Linked DNA regions of Alligator mississippiensis. The protein of the gene in region 1 interacts with the protein of each later gene in a biochemical or structural test. Links are inferred from orthologs where the notes say so. Each region holds a gene or a part of one and is shown in the gene's direction. Other genes may lie near its edges.

The links.
Region 2: the proteins of TJP1 (region 1) and CGN form a complex in vitro, tested with the Homo sapiens proteins (2 studies listed by BioGRID and IntAct, with this or other methods). The link is inferred for Alligator mississippiensis from reciprocal best matches to the Homo sapiens genes TJP1 and CGN.

Annotation. Positions count from the first base shown.
Region 1 is NC_081834.1:36,584,563-36,588,474, reverse strand, and holds the start of TJP1 (tight junction protein ZO-1), read left to right. Parts: upstream 1-1,347; 5' UTR 1,348-1,362; coding exon 1,363-1,529; intron 1,530-3,912. UniProt on the Homo sapiens protein: TJP1, TJP2, and TJP3 are closely related scaffolding proteins that link tight junction (TJ) transmembrane proteins such as claudins, junctional adhesion molecules, and occludin to the actin cytoskeleton.
Region 2 is NC_081838.1:19,748,451-19,752,362, reverse strand, and holds the start of CGN (cingulin), read left to right. Parts: upstream 1-1,113; 5' UTR 1,114-1,196; intron 1,197-3,912. UniProt on the Homo sapiens protein: Probably plays a role in the formation and regulation of the tight junction (TJ) paracellular permeability barrier.

The DNA of each region.
Region 1 (3,912 bases):
CATTGAAATAACATAGGGGCAGTCGAATGAACTGTTGTGGCAACTGATATTTTAAGGAGTCAATTTCAAACCATCTCTGGTAATAATCTTGAGAACATGGGTAGCAAAACCTCTGCTGAAGAGCTGTAATTCTGGAGTGCTGCTTCCCAGTATTCATATGAGAGCATCTTTCCTGGGAAGGTTCAAAAGGATTTTTTTTTATTATTGTTAGTAGTAGTAGTAGTAAGGGTATCATGTTATGTTATGTTAGGTCTTCACTGCTTTGTGTGGACATTAAAGATGTTTTTGAGCTTGTTGAGAGGAGGTGGGTTTGTTCTGGTAGCGCTAGTCACAACATCTAGTATTGGTGGTCAGCTGGGTACTGCTCTCCCCCCAAGAGGCAAGTGCACCTCACTGCTTCTGTGTGTCAAGGCTGGTACATCAGTACACTGCACGCAACTTAAATTTGGGGTGTGCTGAGGCTGAAAGGACAGGGCACTTGGTTTTTAATAGTGAACTTGGGGTTGAATGGTACCAACAATTTAAGACTGCATTAGTATCCATCTTGTGCCCATGCCCCACCACTTGATCATGCTTTTTTATTTCCTCCAGCATGACCAAAGTGGTGGCACCTATAGAAACGCCCCCCCCCCCCCCCCCCCCCCCCCGCGCATATAACTGAACAAGGTGGATTCACTTCAGTCCTTGCTGCCACTTGGGAGAATGGAGAGCGGCGCTTGTGTCCTTCAGGCCGTTGGTCTGGGAGCTGTGCAGGGGAGGCGCCGGCTCTGCCGCTTGAGGAGGCGCGGGGGGACCCCAAGTCCGTCTGCGCGGGACAGGACGGGACGGGACGGGACGGGACAGCTCCCGGCTCAGGCCCGCCACAGCCCCAGCCCCAGCCGTGGTGGGGGGCGCCGCGCGGGAAGGAAATAACGCGGGGCTATTCTCGGCACTAAGGAGCTTGGACGAGCGGGGGCCGAGCCGCAGGGCAGCGAGAGGGGGCGAGGGCAGAGCCATGGGGGCGGCCGCAGGTGCGGGCGAGAGGAGAGGAGCTCCGCCTCACGGCGCGGCGGGAGGAGAGGAGCGCGGAGGGGACGGGAGGGGAGGGGAGGGGAGGAGGCGGTGGCGGTAGCGGTGGCGGCGGCGGCGCGGGCGGGAGATGCCCCGCGCTCGGGGGCGGAGGAGGCCGCGTCAGCGGGGGGCAGCGCGGGAGGAGGAGGAGGAGGAGGAGGAGGCGGCGTGAGCCGGGGGAGCGCGGAGCAGGCGGCGGCGGCGGCGGCGGCGGCGGCGGAGGAGGAGGAGCAGGAGCGGCGGCAGGCGGGGGAGAGCGGCAGGCGCGAGGCAGGGCCGGCAGATGCCTGGGAATCACCATCGGATGGTTGCATGCAGCGGCTGGAGAGACTCTGTCGGTGGCGGCGGCGGGGACGAGGCAGGGACCGGGGGAGCGACGGCAAAATGAAGTACCAGAAATACCTGACGGTCTTGCAGATGGCCATCGGGGTGACCGCCTCCAACCGCGGCAGCCTCATGCCCCTCAAGCGGAAGCTGTGGTGAGTAGGCGCGGGGCGATGCGGGGCGGCCGGCTGCGCTGCCGCAGGGCCATGGCGGCGGGCGCGGGAGGGAGCTGTCCAGTGCCGCCGCCGCCGCCGCCGCCTGCGGCATCGCGGGCACCGCCGGGCGGGCGGGCGGGCGGGCCGGCGCGGGTCCCGGACACCGTGGCAGCGCCTTCCGCCACGGGCCCCGGGGGCAAGCCTGGCTCGTGCTCCGCTGCGCCTTGCCCCGCTCGCACCTCCCAAGGCTGCCTCCCTCGGGCTCGGGCTCGGGCTCGGGCTCGCACTCGGGGGTCCGCCTGGGGCTCGCCTGTGTGAGCAGGAGATGCCTCTGCCCTACGCACATGGGCATCTCGCACCGTTACCTCTGTCTCTCATGCTCGGGTAGATGAGTGTGGGAGAGAGATCCCAGTGCCAGATGGATACATCTTAATCTCACACTCAGGTGTGTGTGTGTGTGTGTGTGTGTGTGTGTGTGATACTCTGGTATCTATCTCTCTATCTCATACTCTTATCTCTCTATCCATCTATCTATCTATCTCATACTGATAACTCTCATATATCAGGGTACGAGATCTGTATAGCTCATACTTGGACATCTATTTCATACTCTTACATATCTAGCTCACCCACATGCTCCTATACCTATCTCATACTCATACATTTAAAGCCACAATTGACTCGGCACACATACGAATCTCCAAAAAGGAAGATCCAATATGTGGCTTCGATACGGTTAAAAAAAAATAACCTTTCTGTGCACCTCGTTTCCACTGGCCTTTGTGGTTTTCTGGTCAGTGAGCTGAACTGATTTCTGGAGGAATCAAAAATCCATGTTATGGAAAATATACTGTGAAGTGTCACTTTGTAAAATGTGGGCAAGGGCATCAAGCAACAGATGGCATTGCACTGTCCAGTCACTCTTTTTGACTTGGAAGGGACTGCTATCAGTTTGATTGAAGCAGTAGGACACATGTCATTGTCAGAACAAATAATATTAAGGAGGAAAAGTCACGTGGCTACAAAGATAAATATTCTGGGGAAAGTATCAGGATTTTCTATTGCATTTGTACAGCAGGGAAAAATGTTTACAGGACACGGAGAATGACACTTAAGCAGTAGTGGTCATACGATTGTCTGTCACTGTGGCCATGGTCACAGTGGAAGAGTGCAGAGTGTCAGAGAAAGAAGTGATTGGACATGCTGTTAAAAAAAGAAGATGACTCTAAAATGATCTGTTTTCAGGAGCAGCGTCTTGTCACAATTGGCAAATAGGCTCTGTCTTGAATTGGCCTTGATTTTTATATTTATATATAACCATATATATATATATATATATATATATATATATATATATATATATATATATATATATATATGTATAATTCTTACACACTCATCCGGAACAGACAACATAACCTCCTGGACATACCTCAGAGAAGCAGAATAAAATTGCTGTAGATCTGCCATTTACTGTATTTCTTCCAGAGTTTGTCTTTTTCTTGTATGTTTCAGGATATGTAAAACTGAAGAAAAAACTATTTTTACATTTTAGTATTTTTGGATGCCATCCAGGTTTGTTAGTTGCATAACTATACTTTTATATGTGCAACTACTAAGCTTTCTGTTGTTATTATTAAATCTTATTATACCATTTGTAGAAAGCAACATGATTTAAAAAACAGAAATATTGTAATTTCCAAATTAAATTAACTGAAGCATACAAAAGCGCACAAAATATTTTCCATTACAAAAATATTCTTTCATATGGATAACTTTGGTTAAATTCAGAAAACCCACTTTTGTACTGTATAAAGTACCAAGTATTTGGTTTTGATATTGTCAAAACCATAACATGCCACCACCTCCACTATTCTCTCAATAATGCATTCCTTTCAGTGTACTCCTTGTGCATCTTAAACAGCAATGTGTATAAGAATATATTACTTCTTTTAAAAAATAATTATAATGTAGCTCAAATATTGACTTTTTCTGTTTTTGTCTTTTCTTGGAATCTGATCCTGTGTCCACATATTACAGTGGAACCCTGAATATGTTTCTTTTAAAAGTCACTTTGAATGGTCCTGGTCCAGCATCCTCTGAAGTTAATGAAGTCCATTGACTTCATTAAAAGTTGGATCAGGCCTACATTTTCCAACTGTATAGCCAGATTTCTCTGCTTTGTGAGGGATAGTCAAGACAATAGAGTGGATCTTAAATGATTCACAAATGTCTGAAGGAAAAATATGCTATATTCATGGAATCCATTTACATCTGCAGCACCTCTTGCCTCTGTGTTCACATTACACCCAGTGCCGTATTATATGAGCAGTCAGGTTGGTGATATAGGTCTAAAGATCAGACAAAAATAACATGCTTTTTC
Region 2 (3,912 bases), on another chromosome or scaffold:
CGGGTCTGCATCCCACGTGGAAAAGATCATAGGTGCGGCCTAATGAGAGCTCCTAGAGACCCCCGGGGGCTGGGCACTGGCACTGGTGTCATGGCGCGATGGACCATTTATGGTGGAAACGCTGGCAGGTTTCAGGGGACGGCTGAGCTGCGAGCAGGTCCGGTGCATCGTTTACCAGCCCTTGAAGTCCTGGCAACGGAGCGCAGCAGAGTGGTTGGGGGGGTCGGGGTTGATCCAGGACATTAGTCAGATCATTTTCCGTGCCTCAGTTTCCTCCTGCTATAAAATGGGTGGAATCCTTGCCTCACTTAAGGTATTGCCAGAGTAAGCAAATCGGTGGTTTCTCCAGTGCCGTGTTGCATTATTAATGCTGTGGATGCGGCAGGGGGCTTGGCGAGCCCAGACCCCCACGCGTTAGTACGAGCAGGGTGGAGGCACCCCCTTGCCCTCGGCAGCGCCAGCGCCAGGCACCCGGCTCCGGCGCGGCTCTGGGGGGCAAACGTTTCCGGGGGGGACAAGCGTCCGTGAGGCCGGCCTGTCCCCCCCCACGTCCCCTCCCCTGCTCAGGCCCAGAATTTCATCTGGTGGCTTCAGGTCTCAGGTGCTCGCGTCTCAACTCCGCGCGGGTTGGGGGGGGGAGGGTTGTGAGTTCACACGCGCGGGGGGGGGGATTGTGAGTTCACCAGTGCAAAGTGCGGGTGAGTTCATACGCGGGTGGGTGGGGATTGTGAGTTCACCAGTGCAAAGTGCGGGTGAGTTCACACGCGGGGGGGAGATTGTGAGTTCAGCAGTGCACAGGGGGGAGCAGGAGTTGTCGGGCCGGGTGCACACGCGGGGGGTGAGTCCCCCAGTGGCTGTGACCGCCCAGGGGCGCTGCGCTGTGCGGGCCCCCCCCCACGCCGGTGCCGGGAGGGGAGGGGTCAACGCGGCCCGGGTTGCCAGGAGCAACCCCCAGCCCAGCCCGGAGGGGGAGGGGTGGTGGAACACGCCCCGCCCACACCTGGGGGAGGGCGGGGCCGGGGAGCCACCCCCCAGCGGGAGTCATGTGACCCGCCCCGCCCGGCCCGGCGGCGAAGGGCGTGGCCCACTCCTAGGGGGCGTGGCCCACTCCTGGGGGCGGGGCCTGGCCGCACTGGGGGGCGGGCGGTAGGTAACAGGTTGCAGCGGGGAGCGGTCGCGGGAGCGGTCGCAGCGCGGTGAGTGCCCCCGGGGCCATGTTCTAGCCCTCGCCGAGGGCTGAGTGGACCGGACCGGACCGGACCGGACCGTACCGTGTTGCACCCCTGGCGGGTTGCGGGAGGAGCTGCTCCTTGCTCGGCAGCCTCTGGGTCCCCCCGGGCGGGCGGGCTTGGGCTGCCGGCTCCGGGCGGCGGGACGAGACGGGACGGGACGGCGGGGTCGCACCCTGCTCGCGGCAGCCCCAGCCCCAGCCCGTCGTCCCGCCGCGGGTCTGTGCAGCCCCCGGGGACGGAGACCCGGCGGCTCTGCGGAGCCCGTCCCGGTGCTTCCCCGCCTGCAGCTGGGGCCCGTCGTCCCTCGTCTGTCACCGGCCGCCCGGGCCCAGCCCGGCTCCGTGCCCGCGCGGTCTTCTCCTCTCCGGGGTCGGGACCCGCCGCCCTCTCGCCGGGACGAGCCCCAGTCCGTGCGGGGGCTCAGGGAGGACGCAGCTGGGCTGGTCTCGGCGGGGCAGGCGGAGCGATGGGCTCCAGTCGCAGACCGGGGGGGCTGAAGTTGGATATTGCGAAAAACTTCCTCCGGAGGAGGACGAAGGCGTTGGGGCTGGTCCTGCCCTGAGCAGGGGCTGGACTGGGCAGTGGTTGGTTCTCAACGTTTTTTGGACCAGGACCCACTTGTCAACATCGCTGGCCAGTGCTGGGCCGGTGCCCTTCACCTCCGACCCACTGCCCCCTACCCGCAGTGTGTGGGGAGCGGCGGGACCCCAAGCAGCTCCTCCTGGCTGCAGCTCTGCCAACCCGCAAGGGAAGAGCTGCGGTTTCCTATGTTTGTTTGTTTTTTTCTTTAAAGGAGAATTTAAAGATTGTTTGTGATCCATTCATATATTCTTACAACCCCCTTTTGGGCTGTGACCCTATGGGTTGAGAAATGCTGCCCTAGATGTGACCTCCTGAGGCCCTTCCCGCCCTCGTGCTCTAGGTTTCTGTGACTGTTGCGATGCTTCTGCCCCGACTTTGCTGCACTGGTGAATTAAAAATATTTCTCCAAGTCTTTCATGGCTGCTTGACACTAATCTCTGACCAAGTCTGGCATAAAGGTCAAGTGTCGGTGCCCAGCTGGGGGGCTGCAGGCAGTTTGGGTTCATCTTTCTGTCCTGGAAATGAATATATCTCTTTTACCCCCCAACTTTGGCACTGTTCAGCACAGACAGAATCAGAATTTGACGTGAGGTTTGTTGTCTCATGTGAAACCCCAGGTCTTGCATGTGATTAATCCTGAGTGCCAGACGGATGAATTTAGTCTCATCAGAGAAGTCTTGACCGGGCAAAACTATGTTCAGTCCCACACATCCACATGATCTCTTACTGAGGTCATGTGGGACTCTTACAGGACTGTAAAATGGGTTTAAACCCATTTCCCACTGAAGAAGTGCCACATAAGTTGTTCTAAAACTTTAATGTGGAGCTCTTAAGACGGATCGTATTCCTGCTGGTTCTGAAGGATGGTATTTTTAGCAGCCAATTTAAACTCTGTGTGGAGGGGAAGGAGATCTGAGCCTTTGATTAGTTGTTCACACTCTGCAGTTGTTTAAAACCTAACTGCTGGGCTGCAGCTCTCAAAGCTGAAGCCCCCATCTTTCTAACCACTTCTCTTCCCCCCCTGAGTTAATACTTCATGTTCAAGGCCCTGTACCAATAACTTATAGCTTTTTAAAAATATCATATCTATATCCCTATAATTGAGATGCTCTGACTTATTGTAATAAAATATATGGATGAATAAGAGTGCGCTCTGCACAGAATACACCCATCTGCTTTTGAAGGCTTGTCTGTGCCGTAGTGCACGGATTGCCTAGGCATAAATCCTGGTTTCTATCGGGAGTCTTGACAGGAGAAAGATTTCATCCCTGAGAACAATTTCATTGCTTCCCCTTGCTCTAGCTCGTGCCGTTCCATCCTTCAATGCAGTGTTGCAGCTTTTCAGAAAGAGGCACTGGGAGGCTCATTTATGTAATACAGTTGTTCTGTTGGTGGTTTCATACCATTGTAAGCCCTGGGTGATGGAGTGATCTGTGTCTGGGATCTGAGTGCTGAGAGGAGAGGCAGTGGTGGGGCCAAGAGATCTGGGTTCAGATCCTGACTCTGCCACTGACTCTGTCTACCCTTGATCAAGTTACTTAACACCTTGGGGTCATTCTTCTCCCTGGTGAGAATAAGCATGTCTTACTTACCTTGCCCTGCTAGATTGGGTTTGGCTGTAAGTGGGGCACAGCTCCTAGTACACAAGGGTTCTGACCCCTGTGGGACCTGGGGGTTAATGGTCTAATATAATCAGTCTAGTGCTTAAAATACATGTTTCCTCTTAAGAAAAATATGCCACCACATCCCCTTTCCTCTCATCTCTATCTATCGCATGAGCTGGCACCAGTGCTGAGCTTGGGATTCAGTAGGGTGTTAGGGAGGGAGAGGGATGTGGTGAGCAGAATAGCAGGCAGGGGCGATGGGGGGAAGGGTGTCTGGGCTCTGTTTTTGCAGTCTGGTTTCTGACTTGGATGATCTTGAGCAAGTGGCTTTCCTTCCCTGTCCTGCCTCGGTTTCCCTGTCTGCAAAATGGGGGTAAGGACACAGACTTCTCTCTCAAAGCACTTTGAGAGCAACTGGTGAAAAGCCTGAAAGCCGGGCGCAGAGAGCAGTACTATCTGTTATGGGCACCCCTTCCCCACCCCTTGTAGGGGAC